Linked DNA regions of Drosophila melanogaster. The protein of the gene in region 1 interacts with the protein of each later gene in a pairwise test. Each region holds a gene or a part of one and is shown in the gene's direction. Other genes may lie near its edges. The genes, in order: CG1275, CG30154, CG12824 and CG12158.

Evidence for each region.
Region 2: the proteins of CG1275 (region 1) and CG30154 interact in a two-hybrid assay, tested with the Drosophila melanogaster proteins (one large-scale study listed by BioGRID).
Region 3: the proteins of CG1275 (region 1) and CG12824 interact in a two-hybrid assay, tested with the Drosophila melanogaster proteins (one large-scale study listed by BioGRID).
Region 4: the proteins of CG1275 (region 1) and CG12158 interact in a two-hybrid assay, tested with the Drosophila melanogaster proteins (one large-scale study listed by BioGRID).

What each region holds. Positions count from the first base shown.
Region 1 is NT_037436.4:2,249,971-2,259,350, reverse strand, and holds CG1275 (uncharacterized protein), read left to right. Parts: upstream 1-1,927; 5' UTR 1,928-2,239; intron 2,240-2,538; exon of another isoform or gene 2,539-2,729; coding exon of another isoform or gene 2,730-2,745; intron 2,746-3,340; exon of another isoform or gene 3,341-3,528; 5' UTR 3,529-3,538; coding exon 3,539-3,812; intron 3,813-5,364; coding exon 5,365-5,574; intron 5,575-5,658; coding exon 5,659-6,022; intron 6,023-6,079; coding exon 6,080-6,254; 3' UTR 6,255-6,607; downstream 6,608-9,380. Other genes in the region: oxt (peptide O-xylosyltransferase), read left to right, coding at 1-22; Elp5 (elongator complex protein 5), read right to left, coding at 678-771, 834-1,479, 1,549-1,597; CG32305 (uncharacterized protein), read right to left, coding at 6,622-7,103, 7,155-7,355, 7,412-7,821, 7,872-8,140, 8,194-8,283, 8,336-8,582, 8,641-9,380.
Region 2 is NT_033778.4:20,530,424-20,535,502, forward strand, and holds CG30154 (uncharacterized protein), read left to right. Parts: upstream 1-2,935; 5' UTR 2,936-2,968; coding exon 2,969-3,029; intron 3,030-3,098; coding exon 3,099-3,232; 3' UTR 3,233-3,511; downstream 3,512-5,079. Other genes in the region: Bbd (bombardier), read left to right, coding at 4,103-4,169, 4,231-4,901.
Region 3 is NT_033778.4:7,786,577-7,791,609, forward strand, and holds CG12824 (uncharacterized protein), read left to right. Parts: upstream 1-3,791; 5' UTR 3,792-3,825; coding exon 3,826-3,922; intron 3,923-3,980; coding exon 3,981-4,060; coding exon of another isoform or gene 4,061-4,116; coding exon 4,117-4,249; intron 4,250-4,302; coding exon 4,303-4,421; 3' UTR 4,422-4,533; downstream 4,534-5,033. Other genes in the region: CanB2 (calcineurin B2), read left to right, coding at 658-956, 1,015-1,185; CG12825 (uncharacterized protein), read left to right, coding at 2,680-2,782, 2,845-2,924, 3,001-3,136, 3,197-3,312.
Region 4 is NT_033778.4:9,361,226-9,365,987, reverse strand, and holds CG12158 (uncharacterized protein), read left to right. Parts: upstream 1-3,081; 5' UTR 3,082-3,098; coding exon 3,099-3,152; intron 3,153-3,206; coding exon 3,207-3,338; 3' UTR 3,339-3,414; downstream 3,415-4,762.

The sequences.
Region 1 (9,380 bases):
TGTGGATGCCCTGCTCAAATGAGCCATTGCCATGCATTAATTTGTTATTAATTCTCTAGTGTAAATACTCGCCAAGATTTAGATGTCGAACCGCAATTAACGATTTTTTGATAGCTCCTTTTTCTTCTCGATGTTTTCGTATAGATTGTTGTGATAATGTGAACTTTTAAGCGCCATTTTGACCGGAAGCGGAACTCCGCCGCTCCAATTGTATTTGATTTTCATATCAATAGAGCATAGTAGCACTTTGGAACTAGTTAAGTTAGTTAGGTTGAACGCCTTGTAAATACGCCACGCACTGGACACCAAAAGATCGCATTGCAGCCAAATATCGTGGAGGTAATCGAGAGTTAACTGTACATAAGGTTAGCTAGATGAAATTCCTTAACTAAGTCATAAGCTAGGGCACCACCAGATAGCAATTGAATCAGTTGTATGTATTCACAAGTTTCTTCGATTTTTTGATTCACATATCAAGTTATCCAAAATAAATGAGCAATTCTACGTGTACTAAGTGGTCGTTCAAAGATTCATTCTGCTCCTCTGGCGAGGTTGAACACACCCCTAGGCGGAACTTTGGGGCCGGAATTCCAGGTATTTTATGGTTTTAGTAGGTTAGACTTAAGGAGACTTAAAGCCAAGGCTATTTGTACTGCCGTTCGCTGCTGGCGGGCAGCCTAGATGCACAGATCCTCGTCCGGATCCTCCTCGTCGAAATCGTCGTCGGCATCGGGCGTGTATATTATGTTTCCCTCAGACGGCTCGGATGTGCTATCATATATACGAACATATCAATAAGGAGATGTAACGCATAGAGAATGGTTACCACTCACCGTTCGTATGGCAGGGTGAGTGCATTGCGGGCCAACACTTCATCCTCGTCAAGCTCGATTTTGAAGGTGCTGCTGGCCGGCTCTGTGGTCTGCTCCGCCTCGGGCGAGGGCTGCTTGGGGGAGGCACCTGCAGGCAGTCCTCCGTCCAGCGGCGTCACCTTGAACTGGGTTTTGCTGACTTCGCAGGAGTAGCGCCTGTTGGACACCCCTCCGCCCGGCTTGCGTGATATCAGCGAGAGTAGTTTGTCCGATTCCAGTCGGAGGACCAGCTCGGCCAGGTACTCGCAGCCAGCCAGGATGTAGTCGGCATGCGGATCCTGCAGGTGCTGCGGGGAGGCCCAAAGGAAAACCCGACGCACATTGTCCGAGCGGCGTAGGCGGTTGAGGAAGCCAAATATGAAAGCAGGCGTCTGGTAGCACAGCAGGTCTGCCAATGTTGGCAGGATGACGTTAAAGCCAGTGGAGTTGGAATCCGTAGTACTCCCAGTGTTGTTGTTGGCGTACTTGTCGATCAGTGCCTCGAAGGTGGCCACGTGCTTAAGGCTGACGCCGGTGGGCAGGGCCTTGATGGTATCCGCCCCCTGTCCCTGCTCGTGCAGCAGACTGCCGATGAACTTGGGGGCAATGCGCTCCCGATTTAGCTCATCTGTGGATGAGGCGGGAGATTGGTGGTCGCATTATTTGGCAGACGATGGGGTAGTCAGTGTGTACTCACCTATTACGAGGACCACTTTCTGCTTGGTCACCACCAGGTTGGAGAGCATTTTGTTAGCATTTATTGTGGGACTACCTAAATATTATTTTAAATTGAAGCTTTTTGTTGGAGCTGCCAGTGCTGCCGAGCTAAAGGCGTTAGCGTGTTTCAGTCGTGCTCAATGGGCCACACTGGCGGCATAAGGGAATCCAGGGTCTCGAAGTAAATGTTTTCCAAGCTCTAGTTAAATATGAATATAAAGTTTGTAAATTTTTAAAATTAAAACTCACACAGTCAGTACTTTCTATCATCATGTGAACGTATATTAAATGCACACTATTTTTTCAGCACACGCAGCTACAGTATGATTCTCGCATCCCTGGTTGTCCCGCTTTTTTCCAAATGAGTAAACAGAAAATCGAAGCGGTTAACAGATCGAGTTACAGTTTAAAACCCTTTGATAGTGAAAGTTTGACCGTGTCCTTGACTTGCTGTACTAAATTAAGTATCAATGAATGTGCCGCTTTAAGTTTAACTTGTTAATAATAATGCTGACGTAGTAAATTCGCACAGCATTCCGCTCTCTTATGCTGCCAAATTATCTCTTTGTGTTTGTGCCGTTTCTGTTTGTGTTCTTGCCTCTTCCGTTGAAGACATTTTGGAAATATTCCAAACAAAACACATTATTGGATTACTGATTCATTTCAAATCTGTAAGTTTACCTGTTTCTATTTCAACTACGTCTTTAAATGTAGTTTACAAACAGTTATAATTTGGTTGTGGCTTTCCATTAATATAATATCCAACAAGTGGTTTTTCTACAGTGGTGTGAGCCCGAAAGTTTGTTTGCATGTGTGCTTCGGCGTTTACAGTTCTGAGCTTCCAACGAAAAGCTCGTGGAAATGCCAAATGAAATGGCCAAGTGCGGCAGAGTGGGCGGGGCTTTAGGGCTTTCACGCCCACGCAGCCTGTGCAGAATTTCCACGGCTTTTCCTCCATATGGAAGGCCCAGCTTCCTGCATTTTAAGCAGTTTGTTCAACAAGTAGAGTAAAGTGCGTGGCAGTAGCCACGAAAATCAGAAGTAATCGCGAAAAACCCATCGTCATCGCTTTAAAGTCACTAATTGCTGCTAAAGATAAGAGCAGGCGGTATTGAAACAGGCATTATCTGAGCAGAGTGAAGCATCAATCAAGTATACGCCATGTTGTTCTCACTGGGTGAGTTGAAGTGCACATACAGTCATTATTGCACAGCATGAACTTAAGCTCTTTAAGAGGGAAAGCTACTTGTTGTCCTTAAAGGTTTCACTTTACTGTAGATGTACTTTCGAAACTAAGAACAATATTGAAATAGTTGTTACTAACAAATTTTACCCAAAAACTTTTTGTAAACCCTTTTACGTTTTGGATTCCACTCCTTCTGGCAAAAAGTAGTTCCAATTGAAGCAGTTCCACTGCACCATCCCATTACTATGCACAGAACATCAAAGTCAAAGTCGCAATTGAAATGCCGCGCAGTGACAATGGTTTGAATAGATCCGAGGAATGCGAAATGCAAATAATCATCAATGCACCCCCTTCCCAACCAGAAGCGATCGACCTGGTCCGGCATACTAACCAGCATTCGTTGGCACCCAAAGCCAAAGGCAAAGTCAAAAGCAAACCCAACCCCACTGGAATCCTATCCGCATCGAGAACCAAACAATTATCCACACCGAAATGAGCAATATGTGTGTGCGATGTCGCATGCGAGAGATTTGCGAGCGGAAAAAGCTTTTCCTAACCATCGCCGGGCGGCGGCTGGAAAACTTTAAATTCAGTTGCGCATTGCACGCCGAAGTGTTCGGTTGTATTAACGGGGTGTCGTGCGGATTAGTTACTAGTAGTTAGTTACTAGCATTTACCAGTGTTTTTGTGCTGTGTCTTAGGGCAATTAACACCGTCCATTATACGTTGCATGTCTTTTTGTGGTTGAACCATTGGTGAATTATTGATTTAAAGTGCACAGACCATGTCGAAGGACGCGGACGTGGAGCAGGCGACCAAGCCGGAGAGCGGAGTTGTCCAGGTGGAGCCAGCGATTCCGGAGCAGCCACAGGCCGCCGTTCCGACCACCATCTCCACGGCGACCACAGTGATCGCGGTGACTAATGGGGAAAAGCCAGCGGCAGCGACACCAGCAACAACTGCAACACCTGCGACAGCAGAACAAGTGCAACCTGCAACAACCATCGCTGGCATTGAGTTGGCCACTCCAACGGCGGCGGCAACTTCACCACCAACAGGTAGACTGTGCATGGCATTGGATTTTGGCTGCAAGTTTGATTAGTGCCAAGTAAAATAAACCAACAAGCCGAGTGTTTAGTTATAGTAAAAGTTAAAGCAAAACGCACCGAAAGACAGACTGCAGCCGTCCCCTTTCCCCGCCGCGGTTTTCACCATCACCATCGGCATCACGATCCGCGATCAGCAAGCAGCCACTAGTAACCAGTAACCAGTAACCAGCTGAATTTCACTTTGGTTTTCCAGACTTTATTTATTTTGCTCCGCTGTCTTCGGACTTGTACGCTTTTCCAAATTCATCCAAAGTCATCTGCCCGGGTTTTACTTTCGGTCTTTTGGTGCGCCTATGTGGATTGTTTATTTCAAATTTTGCGCACGATCTGCTGCAACGCTTTGCTGGTCAGCGTCTTTGGCACGCCCACTTAACCCTAATAATTAACAGTCATAGTCACAGCTAATGTGCCAATTAATTTCACTCGGAACCCAGAGCTGCGTCGAAATGGAGCACTCCAACTGGAGCCCATTGAGTAACCGGGGACGCGTGGCTGCTGCCAGTTACCAGCATTTATAATTGCGATTGCCAGCTACAAGTGTCTCCGGCGCACTTATCAGCCAATTTACAAGCCAACACTTGGCAGTTTGGCTCATTTGCTTATTATTCGCCCGAGTCGAAATTAAAACACCATTTGCATACCAAACGCCAATTAGGGCGGCTGATAGCGGCCCTTATCGAGTGCATCTGCACCTACAAGTTTACTAGCCTTTTAAACTATCTTAGTCAAGTCCAATCTATACTATACCAAACTATGAACACGGCTACTTTCACTACCCGTACGTTCCGTAAAATGAATCGAACTTTAATTTATTTAATGTATCATGCTGCAACATCAAGCACGAGGAACTTGTACGATGCTATTTAAAGCGATTTAATATCAGATGTTCGGACTATCTGGAGAACATACTGATAAGGCGACAGATAAAGTGGGCAGAACGCTCTGGCGTTGAAAATTAATGTTGGGTAAACAAGCGCAAATGTTTACGCATGAATTAGCCAAATTACGCCTGGTGAGTGGCCGGCGAAAGGGGTCGTGGGTGTGTCCCAGTGCCTGGGAACAGGCCGTTCCCATTAACTCAGGGCCCAGTCGATATGATGAGATCTTGTTTATCGCAGTATCGGATGGCTGGCGGCAAAGGAACTGTTTGTTTACCCAACGAGTGCAGCTGCCATCGAAGCGGATCAGATGTACAACTGTTAAAGTGGGTTTTTGGGAAGCCTATTGGCTCCCTAAACTTCTGGTCGCATGTTATCAGCAAGTGCTTGGGGGTTATTTTAATCTGCGGGCAGGTGGAACATGTAATTGAATCATGTTTACGTAGCAGAGGCTATAAACCAAAAGTATGGAAAATATAAACGAGTGCTTGAGATCCCCTTCCCCTTTCGATGCCCCGATATCTCTACCCTTGAATGAGTTATGCGATTAGATCGCCAATGCGTGCTGTGCGTAAAATGGCCTCTATTTTTAGCTCATCCCCAGCTTTTATTGGATTTTTCAGGCAGCGGCAAGGCCAACATGGATCCAGCGCTGATCAACTTTAAGGTGCTCTATGTGCTCACCCAGCTGTGCGGCCTGACCATGATCGTCCTGGTGGCCACCTGGATTGGCCAGCACTTCGGCGGTCTGGCCGGCACCTCAAATCCCGGCGTGGAGTTCAACTGGCATCCGCTGTTCATGACCATTGGCTTCATTTACCTGTATGGCAACTGTGAGTAAATGCAGCGGAAGAGGTGCCACGCCACTCCCATTGACTAGCTTCGAAATGGTAATCCAACTCAATTCAATCCCACAGCCATTCTGATCTATCGTGGTTTCCGCACCACGCGCAAGAAGACTCTGAAGCTTACCCACGCCGGCATCCACATGGGTGCATTCATTCTGACGGTGATTGCCCTGAAGACGGTCTTCGATTCCCACAACTTGGCCAATCCGCCCATTCCCAACATGTACTCCCTGCACTCTTGGCTGGGGCTCTCCGCGGTGATCGTCTTCTCGCTGCAGTATGTGGCCGGATTTGTGGCCTTTTTGGCGCCGGGGTTGAGGGAGAACTACAGGATCGCCATGATGCCGCTGCACATCTACTTCGGACTCTTTGGATTCGTTCTGGCTATTGCTAGTGCCCTGATGGGCATAACCGAGAAGGCCATCTTCGCCATGTAGGTGTATATGCATTCTAGATCGATCACTTGACTAATCCATGACGACATTTCTAGCAAAACTCCGGCTTACTCCACTCTTCCACCGGCTGGTGTGTTGGCCAATGTGATTGGAGTAATGTACGTGGTCTTCGGGGCGCTGGTTGTCTACCTAGCCACTGAGCCCTCCTACAAGCGGAAGCCCATTCCCGAGGACACGGCTCTGCTGAACTCCAGTTCTGTCAACGAGTAAGGGCTATGCCCATGCCCCAAATCAACTGCAATGCTTACTTAAGCTAAAAACTGTGCACAAAACCAAACGAAACCGAACCTGATCACACGGATGGTGCTTTCTTAGTGATGGAGATGGAGATTCGTCAAGATGAGTGTATTATCTGTAGCATGTACATAACCTAACGACTATGTATGACTCTGAATTATGAACATACGTATACTTTGGTCACCAGTTGTGCAATGATTTCAGCGAGTGCTCAAATCATAACGTATTTAACCTCAAGAAAAACATTTGCTTTGAACTGTACGAATACATCTATATATGTGTGTTATATATGCTTAAATAAATATATATATATATATATATCTATTAAAATAAATTTAAATTAATGAAGGTTCCCGGCCAGAAAGATGCCTCCCTTTTGGCGCTCATGTATCGAGACCTCCAGTTCATCGCCTTCAGATACATTTTCCTCGAGCTCTCCTTCAGCCTCCTCTTCATCCGAAGTGGAAGACTTTGGGGGCACGAAGCTCGGGGTGAATGACAGTGAAAGAGTGTCGATGACCCAGCTTTTTGAGTCCTTCATACTCATGCTCACTTGGTCGTGATCTTGGAATGTGAGATCCGGGTCTACGACCACCAGGTAGGTGGGCACCTTGCCCACTCCCTTTACCTCCGTGTGCCCTCGGTAGTTGCAGCGGATGTTAAATTGTCGCAGCACCTTTGCCGTGTGCCGAGTTACTTGGATGTTGTCCAGCAATCCAGTGGAGGACATCCGGGAGGCCATATTGACGGTATGACCCCAGATATCATAGTGTGGTTTCGAGAGTCCAACAACGCCGGCCATCACGGATCCATGGGAGATGCCTTAGATATCATTGGATGGATTAGGATAACGGTGAAGGTAATGCAGCCCACCTATCTTCAAGCTCCCCGTTAAGAATGTATCGTACTCCGAGAACACGTAGTTGTACCGAATGTCGTGCATGATGCGAAGTAAGTCCAGGGCAAACTCGGTCATCACCAGGACGGCGACATCTTGCACTTGGGCGTAGGGCTGGCTGACATTATCGCCGCTCATCTCATCGTCCTCGGTACTTCCAAAATGGACAGTCAGAACTGAATAGATGTACCTTTTACAATTGTACTCTAATCTAGTCGTGGGAAATAGTCACCGCTGGATCCTCGTCTAATTTCGGAATCAGCTTCCGGTTGCTTGACCGGAATGTCGATGGAGAAGTCCGTGTAGTGGTCCGTTTCGAGGCCACAGGCCACCATATAGGTCCAACCCATTACCTTGATCTTTTCGATTTTGTACCTGGTCTGGTAGTCAACCAGGAGGTCGTCGAAGCAGCAAATGATCTCGTGCAGGATCCGTAGGCCCGCCGTGTCGGCGTTAAAGTTCTCGATGGAGGCGAACATCACGGCCACCTTGGAGAAGTTCTCGTAGTAGAGCTGGTCGTGGGGTCGTCGCACCTTGTACACCTGAGCCACGTGGGTGGGCAGGATGTTAGCCATAATGATCTTGATGGAGCGCAGCTTTTCATCAGTTTGCTGGTGGGCTTCCTCGTAGCAAACGCGCATGCTGAAAAGGGAATGAGGAACCGATATACACAAAGATCTACACACACTCACAAGTAGTTAAACTTCCGAAGGTAGTTAACGTGACGTTCCCGCAATACGAGAACAATGAAGAGAGCCACCAGATACCAGGTGTGGGCGTAGTCCGACTTAAGTCCCAGATCAGTGGTCTCCGATCTCTCAAAGGCGAACCCGTAGTATAAATGGACGGTGCCCAAGTGGAGTCCAAGGATGAGCAGGCCGGCGAGTATCTTTATCACCAGCGGACATCCCGGGACGACAAACAGAAGACTGATCACGATGACCACACAGTAAGTGACAGTCTAAAAGTAGGAGATGTTTTCTAGTTTTCAAAATTGTAGATAGTGAAACCAACCCATGGACCGAAGCACTCCGCATACGACTTCTCATTATAGAGATGGGCTTCGATAATACTCAGTTCCAGTTTCGCTACATCACAGGAAAACTGTAAAGGATATGCAGAGCATTGTTTTTGATCACAAATTATAAATACTCACCACTGCTTGAGAGGACATAACGTAGAGCAGGAGCAGTACCACCATGGTCAATGGAATCCTTACGAACAGAGAGTCCTCGATTCTTTCCGAGATCCTGAGAAGCCATCGACTCAGGAAACAAGAGGGCTGCGACATGGGCGTTAGTTTCTTCCACTGCAGCCGAAGCTTTTTGTATCCAGCCAGAATGCACAGGATCAGTAGTATGAGAAGAATTCCGAGCAAGACCAGAATATCAGGGTATGTAGCTCTGTGGATCAAGAGATAAAGTGCAGTACTTGGCAGATTAACTAGCAGAGTCGTCTTACTCTTCGATTAAGTTAATGCTCATTATGGCCAGTCCAGCACAAAGAACTAAGAGCATGGTGTACTTAATCATGAGGTCAGGCAGGTTATGAAATTCCCACTCCCTCTTCCAGCTGCGGAACACACCCAGCACAAGGTGGATCTGGTTGCTAAACAGGTACTCCTCATTGAAGTCCTGTTTCTTCATCGAACTGCTCCGTCTCCATTCTATGAAGCAGTGCCCTACCGCCATTTGATCCACCTCCTTCATTATCTCGCGCTGCGCCTTGATCTGGATCTCTTCGTAGTATCCTCCGTAGCTCAGGCGGCATGAGTTTATGGAGGCGCTGCTCAATTCGTCGTCCAGTTCGCCGGGCTCCACTGCATCAGGAAGTCGATTGCTGACCAGGAAGGTGCGGATCCCCGCTTGCTGCAGGATGGGATCATTTTTGGCTGCCTCGGTGCCCTCTCTGAATATATAGTGCTCGTCCAGCATGCTCAGCGTCCGTTGGGAAACGTGCACCAGTCCCGGCAGCCCGGATGACTCCAGCCGATTGGTGATGTCCACGTCCTTGGACCAGATGTCAAACTGCCATTTGGTGTGCCCAATGATTCCTGCAAACACCTCACCCGAGTGCACACCAATTCGAAGGTTAATGTCCAGCTCGCGCCGGCTACTCACACCCTGCGTGATATGGATCATCTCCAGCGCCTGGTCAACGCAGCAGGAAGCGTGGGCGGGAAAGTAGTTCGGGATGCCAGC
Region 2 (5,079 bases), on another chromosome or scaffold:
ATGTTTTTGCTGCGAAAGCAAATGTATTAAATGCGGATGTTAACGAAAATCACATTTTCTATGTACGTCTTTGAAACAGAAATTAAAATTAAATAAAACACAAGCTTATAATTTGATATAAAATGCGTTTTAAAATTGAGTTGATTTTTTTCCTATATTTTATATATTGCTTAAATTTATCCCTTTTACAATTAATTCACAAATAAACGCATTGTCTTACTGCGACGTCTTCACTACTTAATCTAAGCCGCCTAAATCTCTGATAAACAGCAAACTATTATTGGCTTCCATCAAATTAGAAACTAATTTATTAGTTTATTGGTTCAAAATGATTGAGTAGATTGCCTTAAAGCCTACTCTCTACTCTCTATCACCAAACAACCAAATTAGGCAGCGTGTAAATAAATTTGCATCTTCAGAATGTAATTTGATGGGTGTACGTACGGTTGAAAACACTCGTGTTGTTGTCCTGGATCATAACAAATATATATATACATGTATATATATGTATAAGTACATATTCGTGGGCTGTGTACTCAATTAGCATTAATGAATGTCCCTCACCCCGTGCAGGTAATGCCTATAAAGCTTGCCCAATAATTCAATTAATGTCGCTTCGCTGACGCCCACTTTGCCCCAAGTTGTTGTTTACTTATTAGGCTAATTGTGTTCGTTAGGACCACCTGCCTTGGTGCAAGTACTTTAAACTGGAGATTGCTTCCATTTTTGATTGATCAAATACACTTTCCGTGTCTTTAGCTCACCCCCCCCCCCCTTCCACCACCACCACCCACACCATCATCTTCAACTGACACCGTTCTAACAATGGCTCACGTCGCAAGTCATCTGCAGCAGCCCAACATCGTCGTCTGCATTTCAAAATCGCACACAAAACATTTGCCAAATGCGAAAATGCAGTCAAAGTCGTGCAAAATGCAGTCTCCTCTAACCTGACTCATCAGCCACCACCAATAGCTAGACACACTCTTTCCACCAACTGACAAATGTACACTGCAAAAAAAAAGTCGCGAAACTTAAAAGTTACAGAAAATGCTTAGCTCATAAAACGATAATCTTGCTTTATATTTCTTCAATATGTACCAAATTTAATTTCAAAGCATATAATTAAATTATATTATGAACTTATTAATTTCAGTGCAGTCGGGATCACTCAGTGAACACATTTTTTTGTGATTGTGCAGTCAGCCGTTAATAGAGACATTGAGGAGTGACGGAGAGCGAATTAGAGGGTTAGACAGAGAGGGGAGTGACGATAGAAAAAGAGGGGGCGACTAACAGAATGAGCGAACAAATACCTCTTCTAGTGCTATTTTCTATTTGTACTTTGTGGAAATGTTTGCTGTTGCTGTCGCTGCTAACGCGGTGTGCAATTGTTGTTATATTTAGCATCGCAGACGCAATTTATATAAAGTTTAATTGATTGGAAAATCAAATCGATTCGATTCGCACTGCAGCAACAACAGCATCCACAATGGACAACGCACATTTGCCTTTGACCAGGCGCAGATTGTGCATGGGAATCCCCCGGGCGAATCGCCCAAAATGGAAACCCACATCCATTGGCCAGCATACAAGCCGTATTTCAGACTCAAAGTCGTTTATCTTGCCGCCGTTTGGGTACGTTTCTGATCTCGGTTTTGCAGTTGGGCTAATGTAAGTCGCACATAAATTGAATAAAGAACGAGTGTAGGTGGCAATAAAAGCCAGGCCAACACAGTTAGGTTAAATTAAGCTTCTTCTTAACCTGCACTTGAGTGCCAGAATTCAATTACAGTCTCGTCGTGTTTAGAAGCGGCGATTAAGGAAAGGTACTAATAGCCTGATTAAATCTTTAAAATTCCGAAACGTTTCAGCGTATTGTTGTACTTTCTCAACTATTTTTATACCATTTTTTTGATAACTATGATCGTTGGATTTTGACAGGACATGTTCTTGAAAACTCAGCATAACAACGAGCTAAATAACATGTCAAGGCACTGAAATAATTGGCTCTACACACTACTTCAGTTTTTCCTAGTGATGGACAAACTTTCAGCAATGGCATTTTATTTTCCACTTTACAATTGCTTTATTTGAACAGAGTGACTCCACCACCACTCCAATTTTCCAACTAATCCAAATCCATGGCCACTCAAACAAAGCAGCAACAACGAAACGCTTGTCATTAACAAACAATGCAGTACCTGTTTAATTTTTATTGTGAAACTTGGCTCGACGAGAGCTTAACTTTTCCCGATGCAACGCAGCTTAGATAGCTATATACACCCACTCAGCAACGATAAACCCACTCGACGCCGGGGGACATTGGATAATGTCAATGGCCGGGGATCCGAGGTGGGACCGAGCAGTTCCACGATATGTTTAATGGCAGTAGGAATGGAAAAAGTTTTACGTATAGCAAAGCAATTCAATTGAAAATAATTAGAAACGTAGCCACATGGCGAAACTTCTTAATTACCCGGCTATTGTGCGTCTACACTGAAATAAATATCTACTGAATGACTTAGTTAGTGGCGTAAATTAGGATTATTTTACTTTTTAAATTATATGCAAAAGCGAATATAAAAAAATATTTTTGTAAAATATAATAAATAACTTTTGACACTTTAATCCTGTTGTATATAACCATAAATTTCTCTGAGTGCATTCGACAGTGGTGGCACGATGGTTTCAATGAGAATTAAAAGAGTGCAAAGAACAGAAAATTGCATTATGCATAAGTCGCTAGAGCTTAAGCCATTATCGAATCCCTCCACGTATCCAAACATGGACAAATAAAGATACAGAGAATGCCACTAAGAGAGGGAGTGAGAGCGAGAGTCCAAAGCAATCCAAGAGATACGATTCGAATAAGAGATAGAGCGCTACTTGGCTATTGGAGCCGTATAAAACAAGTGTGTCCATATTATGCCCCATCATTGGAACATTGGAACTCCTCGGCTTGATCATGTACCTACGTCAACAACTCTGGGTTCTCTTGCTCTGGCTCTGCTTCGTCGTTCTCAGCGGTGAGTGGTGTTCTAATATCTATATCTATTATCTATATTTTTATAAACCCACATTTGTCATTTGTGAAGTGCATGGCATGCCGTGGAAATGGGGACCTGCCTCCAATTCTGGACCCCATGGCGGACCCGCCTGGAATGGCGGAGAAGAGTCCACCGACAATATAGTCATCCATTCGAAAAACAGCGGCAAGTGGCGTTACTAAATTTATCCAAGTGGCAGAGGCGTGACCACAACCAAGTCAAGCTGGATTTTACAGTAAATTTGTGAATAATTTTACAACTACTTTGCTTCGCAATTGATTTTCGTCGAACAGTACTCGATTTGTATGCTAATACTTCATTCATGGTCACACTCACTTATATATAGTCACTTTAATTGTGCACCTTTTTATCTATGACATTTAAATATAACCCTTTACTATACTGTATGTAATAGAGCCAAAATATTTAAACGAGATTAAAAGCCTAATATTGCAAATATGAATATGAAGATACAGTTTATACGGCTTTTGAAATTGTTTCCTGAATCTAACTAATATTGCAATCGAATGAACAAACCGAAATAATCTACGAAATTATAAGCTATTGATTGATATTGATTTTATTGATAAGTATGCAAACGAGCTTATGGGAATTTTTCAATTCTGATCGTCATAACAATATCAGCACGTGTTTTATAATAATTTTTTCAGAATGTTGCAAATCGCAGCGCACCCAACTTTTCAGTTTCTATGGCATATCTGCGTACTTTTGGCCTGGCTAAAAAGCGTTCTTGATTTGACACAGTTCCCCCCACTCTCTCGATCCGTCTAAATCGAGAGTGAATTGGCAAGCCGGTGACGAAGTGCCTCTGTCGCTCAACCGCAAGTAAACAAAACAAACCCGTCGGTGGCAATTCCCGGTAGACTGCACCGCTGACCTCCTCCGTCTTATCTGTTATTGCGCGAGAGTCACTGTCACTGAGAACCGATCTCATAGAGTATATAGAACGAATACGGCGCGATGAGCCGATATTTTTATGGGATAGTATAAATAGCTGGCATCGCACTTGGCATTGGCATAGTCAATGCAAAATGGGCTCGAACACTGGAGCTTGGATTCTACTGGGCCTGCTGGCCGGCATCGCCTCTCTGTCTAGCGGTGAATATATAGATATACTTTGTATGTGCAGATAGAAAAAAAATAAATTGTATTTTTATAGCTGCGAATATACAGCGAAATGAGGACCAGACGATTCTTCAGAACAATGGAAACACCTTCCTATCAAACGGAGCCGGGCAAATCATTCGTGGACCCGATGGCAAAACAGTATTGATCGGATCCGATGGGCGCAGGATCATCACGGATGCCGACTCCAGCGAAGAGGACAGCTCGCACGATTATGGTCACGGTGGGAGCTATAACAATGTTATCATCAATGGTGGCTCGGGATCCAGCGTAATTCATGGCGATGGACATAGCTTCATTGTTGGAGATGCGAGTCATGGAAGTTACATGAACAGCAATGGACGCAGTATTAGGATCATAAATGGTGCCATCGAACTCAATGATCACGGCCAGGTGTACACATTCAGGCCAAAAGCAGCAGGCATTAACGAAAAGGAAACCGTCACCATCAACGGACAACCGGCTCAGGTGGAGTACTCCAATGGTGATATAGTCATCGAACTGGCCGATCATACGGTGATTGCCAAGATAGGTGGACGCACATTTCTGGGCGATCGCGAATCCTTCGACAATCGGGATAAATTAGAGGCGGAGGCAAAGAACTATGCCGATCGTATCCAGCAAGAGGTGCACGCCAATCTCCAGAAAACCATGGCTGATATTCAAAGGGATCTTCAGAATTCCCTGGGAAATATTTTCTATTAGAAGCCAAGTAATCAATCGTACACGAGTCGCTCGAAATAAAGCGCCTTTGCAGCAATTGTCTTGACTTTAATTGTCTTATCTATGGTTTACAAGCTAAGATGTTCTAAAAGATACATATCTAGTGTGTAATCCAAGTACAACAGACCCCAGACATGAGGCGTCTTTGGGCATAATCTTC
Region 3 (5,033 bases), on another chromosome or scaffold:
GAATGGCAGCTGTTTATGAATATGCAAACATGGGCATTTAGAAGCGTACATTTAGATACGGTATGCATGTACGATTGTACGCCCGTATGTACGTATGCACATATGTAGGCATGTAAATACGCGAATGGCCAACAAAAGTGGAATGCAAACGAAACGTGGCGTAGAAATACATTTTGAATTCCCAACTCTTTATTCCGCACCATCGTCCTATTTCAAAATTGCCATTCTAGAATGTGTATTTGTCACACCTTGTCGCACATCTGATGATCGACAGACAACCGGATGCTAAATATAAATCGCCAACAATCTTAACCAGAATCTCGAAATCTGGTTTTACATCTGCATACTAAAGGGCTGTTTAAATGCTCAATACTATATAGTTACTTAGCAGAATAGTAATAATTAAATAACTTTAGTTTCAATTATGTGATTTATATTCGCGAAAAGGAATAATTTACATTTGTATGTTAGATAAATTTACTTAATATTTCAAGTGAAAATAATAGTATTTAAAAGCTTTATTAATCCTAATAACGCTATAGAAATTTGATGTTGAATTTTTAAGTATAGAGTTCAAAGAGCTCCACTGTAATCATAATCCTCACACCGTTCTAGAATCTAAATCTCTATTTCTATATATTTCCCGCCTTTCTGCAGTCGACGCCGACGAGATCCGGCGGCTGGGCAAACGTTTCCGGAAACTGGACCTGGACAATTCGGGCGCGCTGAGCGTGGACGAGTTCATGTCGCTGCCGGAGCTGCAACAGAATCCGCTGGTGCAGCGCGTGATCGACATTTTCGACGCGGACGGCAACGGCGAGGTGGACTTCAAGGAGTTCATCCAGGGCGTGTCGCAGTTCAGCGTCAAGGGCGACAAGCTGTCCAAGTTGCGCTTCGCCTTTCGCATCTATGACATGGACAACGATGGTTACATTTCCAATGGCGAACTGTTTCAGGCAAGACCCGCGAACATTACGTTAAGCTCATTCCACTGAAGTGTTTCCCCTCTAAAAGGTTTTAAAGATGATGGTAGGCAATAATCTGAAGGACACGCAACTGCAGCAGATTGTGGACAAGACGATCGGATTCGCGGATAAGGATGAGGATGGCAAGATCTCGTTCGATGAGTTCTGCTCTGTGGTCGGCAACACGGACATTCACAAGAAGATGGTAGTCGATGTCTAAAATAGGTTTAACGCAGATCCTTTTCTACGCGATGTTATTTATTTATTTTATACACGTCGGCATCCTTCGATTGTCACTATCACCACTATTCATATGGTTATTATTTTTGATCGGCGATTCTCTATAGTTAAATATTGTTATGAGCCTTTGGCGAGCCAGTTCAGTTAGTCAGTCAGTCAGTCAGCCAGCCAGCCAGTCAGTCAGTACAGCGATCGAAGGCTTAGGGAGAAATCGCGAATGCAATGTTGTTATCCTAAGTTGAAAAGTGGAATAATGCGCCTCCTACTTACTTCTTAAATATATTCATCTATATACTTATATATAAATGCATATATAGTCATAATTTATTATACAAATATACATTTAAAGAATTCAAAAACCCCAGAAGCAAAACTAAACTTAACTAAGGCGGAATCCAAGTTCGTGCAAGCAAAGGCAAATAAAGCAACCCAAGTTGAACGAATGCTCTATCGAATGCACTTTCGCTCTATCATATTGATGTTATATTTCTAATTCTCCTGTGATTTTGCCAAAAACAAAACAAAAAAAAAAAAAAAAAAACAACAAAACCAATCGAAATGCAACAAATCGAAATATGAAGTGCTTATGATGAGAAAGGACAGATGCGCGGGGCAGCTAAGCAACCTGCCCGAAGGAGGTCTCCTCTATTGACTTAGTCTTATTTACACGTTGTGTACTTTTTATATATTTATACATACCTACTTGTACTAATCGAATGTTATAACCTACGTAACGTATTTTTATATATCTTGACTAACTTGATAACACCAGAGGAAGGCGACGTTTGCCAAGTTTCTTAAGTCTATCTTAACCAATTTCTAACGCCACTTAACTCAAATTAATCAACGATTCTCACGCAGAACGTAGAACGCCTCGAACGTTTTCTAAAATACGCTACATTTTGCAGTTTATAACGCGAGTTAACTGAAAATCGAATAGTTATTATACATCAAAACATACATATGAAGCAATGCCGTGCGGTGATATTGCAGTAACATTTTTTTATACCTAATTATACTAGTTAAAGATGCAAGAAAACCAAATAGTAAAACGCATGTTACAAATTTTACAATTAACAAATTTTTGCACACTCGCCACTCTCAATTCGTTAGCTAATCAATTAAATTCCATTGCATTATTCAAAGTAATCGACTCGAGGTCGTATCTCATTGTAAAATGGTGTAGCCACAAGTTGGGAACCCATCGATAGATAGGCCCGCATGGATTGCCCAGTTAGCTGGCCAGTCGAAGCAATAATAAGCGAATCCTTCAATAAAATTATAATTATACACTAACCAACAAAGGTTTTCTTCAATTGTTGTTGCGCTGGTGGAGGAGCTACAGTACAATATGAGATTAGATAAGGTCTGCGGCAAAAGCTAGCCTGCTCACCCATCACCACCATGAATACTCCCGTCCAGTTTAGTTGTGAAATAATCGGCGGTCTGCAAGTTACTCTGCGATTTTGGAAACATGTGGAAGCTGGACACCAAAGGAGGAATCATCTGCTCGGGCTGCCTGTCCATAGCCTTTGCCATAACCTATCTGGTTTTGATGGACGATTACTTCTGGAAATGTAGGCGCATATACATACCAATCTTGGATATCTTTGCGATGCATAGAGCTATTTCGTTTCAGATGGACTCTACGAGATGGGAATACACATTTCGGCGCTGCAGATCTTGGGAAGCGTGGTCCTCATCGTTGGAGCCATAAAGGTTAGTTAGGCACACTGTGCACAGTCCACAACACTCTTATCTCTTATCTCTTTGCTCTGCTCTTTGCTGCATACAGCAAAAGCACAAGTTCTTCGTGCCGTGGATGATAACCACAGGATTCTTTTTATACCTGATGGTGAACCTGTTCATTTCACTGATAGTCCAGGGCACAGCTTGGATCTTCGGACCATTGATGGTCGTTCCGTTCACAGGTGAGGAGTTAACGCAGCCAGAGATTGGACAGCCAATTAACCAAAATCCTTCACTTTCAGCCTATCTGGGCTGCGCCCTGTACTCGGTGCAGAAGGCCTTCGACAGGATGCGCAAGGAGGAGCCACCGGCATATGCCAGCTTGTCCGACAAGAAGGAGTTCATCAATCACATATAGATACATATATAAGCAATTTCAATACAAACAAAAAAAAGATTAAAGGTAGATCAGATAGCTGGAAAATAAAAGCTCATTTTAAGTGCTATTCAAACGAAACAAACCCACAAGAAATCGGTGTAAATTTAAACTTTTCTAAAGTTTATTACAATTTGCAATGGGAACTATAAACTTTAAGGCAATCACTTTTGTGAACTATTATTTTCAGTGTGCTCTGAAAATATATTTGTTATCTTTTTTCTGCGAAATTTCGTTTCCAGCTCACATCTCTGTTATCTCTGACAAAGGTAATTCTGTTTTTTTTTTACTTTTATCATTTGGCTTTTAGCAAAGCTTGTTTTCTATGATGCACAATTTTATTATCCCTTTTGCGGTGCCTATATATCCCACAAAGGCTTTTATGTATATGCGTTGTATATAAAGCAATGGCTGATTAGATAAGTATTAAAAAAAGCTTTTTAGTAATGGAACAATGGATCATTTGCGAACAAAACGCCCATCGAGGAGTTGGAAATGTGGAAACCGGACTCCAAGGCGGGCATTATTTGCTCCGGGGCTGCATCGATCTGCCTTGCGATCGCCTACCTCATCATATTCGCCAACTTGAGGGGTACTGAACGGGGGTCAAAGTTCAAGAGCCAGCACATCTAATACCAGTTTCCCCGCAGAATTATCCTACGCATTTGGAGTTCACATAGCGTCCATGCAGATTATCAGCAGCGCAGTACTCATCGGCGGAGCCATCAAGGTCGGCCATACTCCCAATGCAACTTCCAATTTTTCACCCACATTCTCTCATCGCAGGAGAGGCACAAGCTCTTCGTGCCCTGGATGATCACAACCGCCATGTTCCTCTACTTAATGGGTTACTCATCCATTGTGCTGCTGGCCATGGGCGATTGGTTAATCGTCATGTTTTGCGCAGCGCCAATGATAGGTACAATATAGAGATTAACTTCGTCCTTCAATAAATCCAAAAACTACTTTCAGGCTGCCTCGGAATGGCATTCTATGCGGTGCAGAAGGCCTTCCGCAGGATGCGCAAGGATGGGCTTCCACCGAAGTATGCCGACATGCAAGTCAAAAGTATTTTGGTGAATCCCATATGATGCATTTTGCCATTTACAATTGTTGGTTTATCAAAAGCATGATGCTTCTGAGATATGGTTATATATTTTGTCTTTACTAAATGCAATAATTATATATAATATGGTGAAGAGCATTTTTAGTGGTGTTATTGTATTTATATATTACATTCTATAATATACAAATTAATACTGAGAGTTTGATTTGTTGAAATTACTTTTCCATTTGATTTACCATCAATATTTTTATGATTGTTAAATGGAAATTCTATTAAGCCTTATAATTTGAACAGAAATAGCTCAAATAATAAAAGCTACATATTTTTTAAAAATATCTTAAGCTTAGCATTTGGAAATTTAGAATGACGGCATTTTCAAATATCCCGCTCTTTGCAGCCCTGGTTGATGCTAATCGATTCAATTCTGTAATGCCGATAAGCTATGTACCAAGCAGCAAGCATATGTGTATGACCTTTCGTGACCTTGGTTATGCTCATAAGAAAGCCGCTTTGTATAAGAACGCAGGTCGATATATGAAAACAAACCCTTTATCCACCAAAAAGTATAAAGTATATATAAGCTATATAGTTTATATGGTCTGAGTTCAATTGGTCGTTATGTGTATTTATGTTGTTT
Region 4 (4,762 bases), on another chromosome or scaffold:
CGCTTTTTAATAGACCCAAAAACCCTAAAACCTCTTGACTCGCCGGCCTGACTTAATTGCTTTCCGGCAAAAAAAAAAAAAAGCTAGAAGCAAAACGGCAAAACGGCGAAACCACCAGGCTGTTTTTGGCAAGCTGCCCTGTCTGCAGCCGAAAATTAAATTGGCCATGTTTAAACAGCAAATTTGGACAAAATTAGGCAGGCCTCTATATAGTTTTCCAAGGGCCGGTGGGGGTCAGTCGTGGCAAAGGCAGTGGCATGCCAGGGAATTATTCAAAACTCGGCTGGGCAGTGAAATGAAGCAAAGCCACAGCCGCAGTTATTTGAGGTGGGCCCATGACCACGTAATACCCTGCGATAACCGAACCACTGCCCGAAAGTGGGTGGTCGGTCCACAAAGCACATCTACATCCCGGCATCGCGGACGAATCCCAGCCAGACCATCGGTCTGAATCCATAATGAGATGAGTGCACCACGGACAACTTACGCAAATATTTGGCAATTATCTAGTTCGGTTTCGTTCACAAGCCCTGAGAACAGGAAACCACCGGACTCGTAACATCTCGACGAAACATCCACACCGGCATTATTATAATGACTGAACATTGCAGCAAATTAGTCAAAACAAAAAGTAGCTGGAGCGAATGAGAATGGGAAAAACAGAAATGTAAACTCCAGGGAATAGAACGAACTAAAGTATGCCCTATATTTCTCTAAAATTTCCAGTTGTGTCGTGCCTTCCATGAAGATGACAATTTTCCTTATAAATTTTACCCATAATATGTATTCAAAGAAATCATATTTCCTGCTTCTGTTTCTCTTTTTTAAGTAAAGGCCAGACTTCGTTTAATTTTTAATAGACCCCATCGCAATAAGTGGTCTCTAAACGGAAATTTCTGTGAAATAAGTCAGAGCCCTGCTTGCGACACCATTAATAGACCCCATATTAGGACATCAACCATAAATGTTGGCTGACCATCCTGGTCCAACCGATCCGACCCGACCCGACCAGGACATCTCCTCGAGAAGGGCGCGGCAAAAGTTGAGTGGCCATCGGGCGTGTCAAAAGACAAACACCAGAATGCCGCGCTGCGGGTCTCTTTGTGTGTGTGTGTCCTGTCCAAATGCGAGTGTCTTTTAAATACTCATTACAAAATTAATTCGGGGAAAAGTTTTGATAAAAATCCTATTATAAACATAAATAAATAGGCTGGCCAGAGGCAGAGGCGGAGTGCTTTGCGCGGGGGGGTCAAAGGACAAAGCAGTGACTGTGCAAACAATTGTGAGTGTGCAAAGTGGAAAAGTGGGCGGGGCCGTTGGTAGTGAAAGGTAGTGGCAAAGTCAAAGTCAAACAATGAGGCAGCCAACTGTAAAGGACGAGGGCTGAGACTTCATTAGTGCTCATCCACAATGTATGCTGGTGTCGTCTTGCTACCCGAATTTACCGCCCTCCTTCCCCCATATGGCCATCCAAATCCTTGGCTATTCCTCCGTCGTCCTGAAAAGTGCCGAAATGGTTATAAGGCGTTATGGGTTCGCCACTCGCTTGCGGTTTATTCAGCCGCTCAGTTCGCGACTATGGGCATATTCAATATTCATATTTCGCTGTGGCAGGGACATTTATTAACCGAAAAAAACCCACACAAGTACACAGTAAGAAATCTGCACAAAGTCGTTTATAATATTTTTAAAAATTATTTCTGCAACTGCTTGCATTGTTGTTACTATCATACGCATATGTATGTTTCTTATAGTTTATTTTAATTTTTCAAAATTATTGTAATAGAGTTCTTAGAAGATTAATTTCAAGAATGCCTCCCAACTTAACATTAGAAATTACCTATACTTGTATCAATTGTAACTAAATAATTCAACTATATGCACTTCCTTCAGTCTGCAAACATCGATGTGCCCATAGGTGGTGACAGGTGAATCGGCGGGCGGGACCCATCGTTGTTGTGTAAACTAGAAAGTCTTGTTTCTGTTTGGCCAACGTTCGGCAGAATTTAATCTCAAGCTGAAACCGAAGACATTTTGCCACTCAACGCTCGAAAATGCCGAGCGAAATTGCTTTGCCCGACCATGCCCCCAAGGTGATGGCGAGGGGCAAGTGAATGGGCGGTGGCAGTTGGATGGCAGGTGGATGGTGGGTGGTGTGCGAATCTCTTTCAAAACGTGTAGTGTCAGTCAAAGAATGGTGGCATATGGGTGGCTGGTGTGTTGGATTGTTTGAGCATACGCTCAAATTAAAAGACCGAGCAGCAATAGGAAATCCAGTTTGAATAATTGACGGTTTACTCTGCCTAGACAAACTTTATGAAAATGTAATAGTGCCTAAATGAATTGATTTCGAAAGCTTCGTAAAGTGCGAGGCTAAGGAAATTTAATATGCCACTTGGAATATTTTAGGAAAATAGTTTACCAAGACAAGATACAAAAAACCAGAGACAGTGTCAAAAGTATCGAATATCAGATACCTGTTACTCCGACTGCTTCCGTGAGTGCACACGAGCTCCACCTAGTGGTTATTTTTCAGTAACTGCTTATGACGCTCTGATGTTATCAAAGATAAAACGCCCAAATATTTTATAATCAATATAGCTTTTGAAGTCAGAGTGTGAATCAGATCGCTATATGTTGACTTATAAATTCTTACCATCCAAGTTAATTTTTCGCAAAACGTATTTGTTTTGGCGTGTCCAAAATGTTATTAAATTTAGAGCTCAATCTATACATTTTTAGTTAATTATAGCTATGATATGATGACCTTAGTGACATTTGAGAGATATTCTGGCTAATTTTTTCAAATTTGTTTTTCCAATTAAACAGCAAAATGATGGCTCCCCTTTGGAGTTATTTTGTCGTTTTAATATATTGTATATGCGATCAGATCGGGTCACACGCAATTACGACATTATAAATCAGATTCGAGCGAGCAAAATAATACAGAATGGCATTATTAACATACAAACTGATTTTGCCATTTTGTTCACTGCGATGGTTAATTGCACTGGATTATAATCTCTTGGGAACCGCAGTTGTGCTGTATGACTATAAAAGACCACATGTGTTGTTAGTTTACTAGTTTCAAATTCAACATGAAGCAGTTCGCATTGTTCAGCATCTTCCTTCTAATTCTGGCTGTGGGTTTGGTAAGAGTTGAAGGGTTTTCAATCATCCACTTGGCCTAACCAGAGGTTTTCCAGGCACAAATGCCGCTGCAGGTGGCCGCCCAGGGCCAAAATGGACATTCGCAGGGACAGCCGCCAAGACCGCCAAATGGCAATGGAAACGGCAACCAGCAGAGTGGACAAGGACAAAGCGGGCAGAACAACTAGAACTGGGATATTTCTGGAGGGGGACACACACCTCCTCGCCACTTTCCCAGTTACTTAAATAAACACTTTCCCCAGCAAACTAAAAACTTCGTTTCTTGAACCCCGTAAGCTTAGAAAGGCAAGCTCGATATTAATGGTCAAAGGGAAAAGAGAAATTCGAGGGTAGAATCTTAAAGCAAATTGAAATCGAAGGGAAAATAACATGACTGAATAGATTTGTCATCTTAAAGGCTCTGAAAACTTCCACTATCAGTTGAAAATATAGGCCCGCGTTTCTGTTTATGTATGTGACTAAAAAAAATGTTATGTTTTACACAAGTTCTTAGAGCCATATTGTTTTACAATTGTTATACACTTTTTTTGTATATTCATTCTCCTCCTCGCTTTGTGTATTTGCACTGCGTCTGGGCCAAGCCAATTTGGAAAACTTTATTAATAAAGTGCACAAATTATGAGCATGAAACTCACCCCTCAACCCCGCGCACATGGCCATAGGTCCATTCCGGCTGATGAGCCAGGAAAGGGGTTACAAAGGGGTTTCAATGCCGGGCTATTCGGAGCGATGGAAACCTACAAAGCGCAACTTCTTCAGCGACTTGTGTTCTACATTCTGTGAAAATGCAAATGCTTATTACTCGTACCAAAGGAGCTGTGCCGCCAGGCAGTGCATAATTGCATTATGACTGCCGGAGTCTGGATGCAGCTAACCCTCTGTTCAAAGTCGCCGGAGAACCCAATCCCCTCCCAACCGACATCCCTTGCAATTCCCGGAAAAACACCTTCTAAGCCGCTCTACTTCAGCAACTGAAATGCAGCCATGTGTGAATGCACCTCGGAGACTAACCGAAAAAGTTATGCTATCGCTATCAGTCAAAAAGGATACATACTATACGTACATACATACATATGTATGTACATATGTAGAGTCTCACAGGGAAGGGAAGCACTGAAAATGGCCATTATTATCCCTTATTTTAAATTAAAGTAAATTCTTCCAGTCCTCTTGTTAACTATGATTAATAGCAACAAATGAAATTTACATTTTAGACTTGGAGTGGTATTACAAATGTCATAAAATAGGAAATATATTTCAGAATTTTACATTACTTAGGGTAGTAGGATTTAGTCCTTAAATCAGTGTATTTTAATAATAGCAAGTGGCTAATGAACGCAAATTTGATTGGAGCTGATACAAATCAATCTGTTGTTTTGTAAGCTGAATGATTTGCATAATCATCCTAAATGTAAATCAAATGTTACGTTTTTTTTGCTGTGTGCCTGTTCACACATGAACACGAATATATTTAAAGACTTACAATTTTGGGCTCCGTTCATATCTTATGTAAATGAATCGAGAGCGATAAATTATATTTAGGATTTTGTTATCTAAGGCGACATGGGTGCATTGCTCAAAAACATGTAAT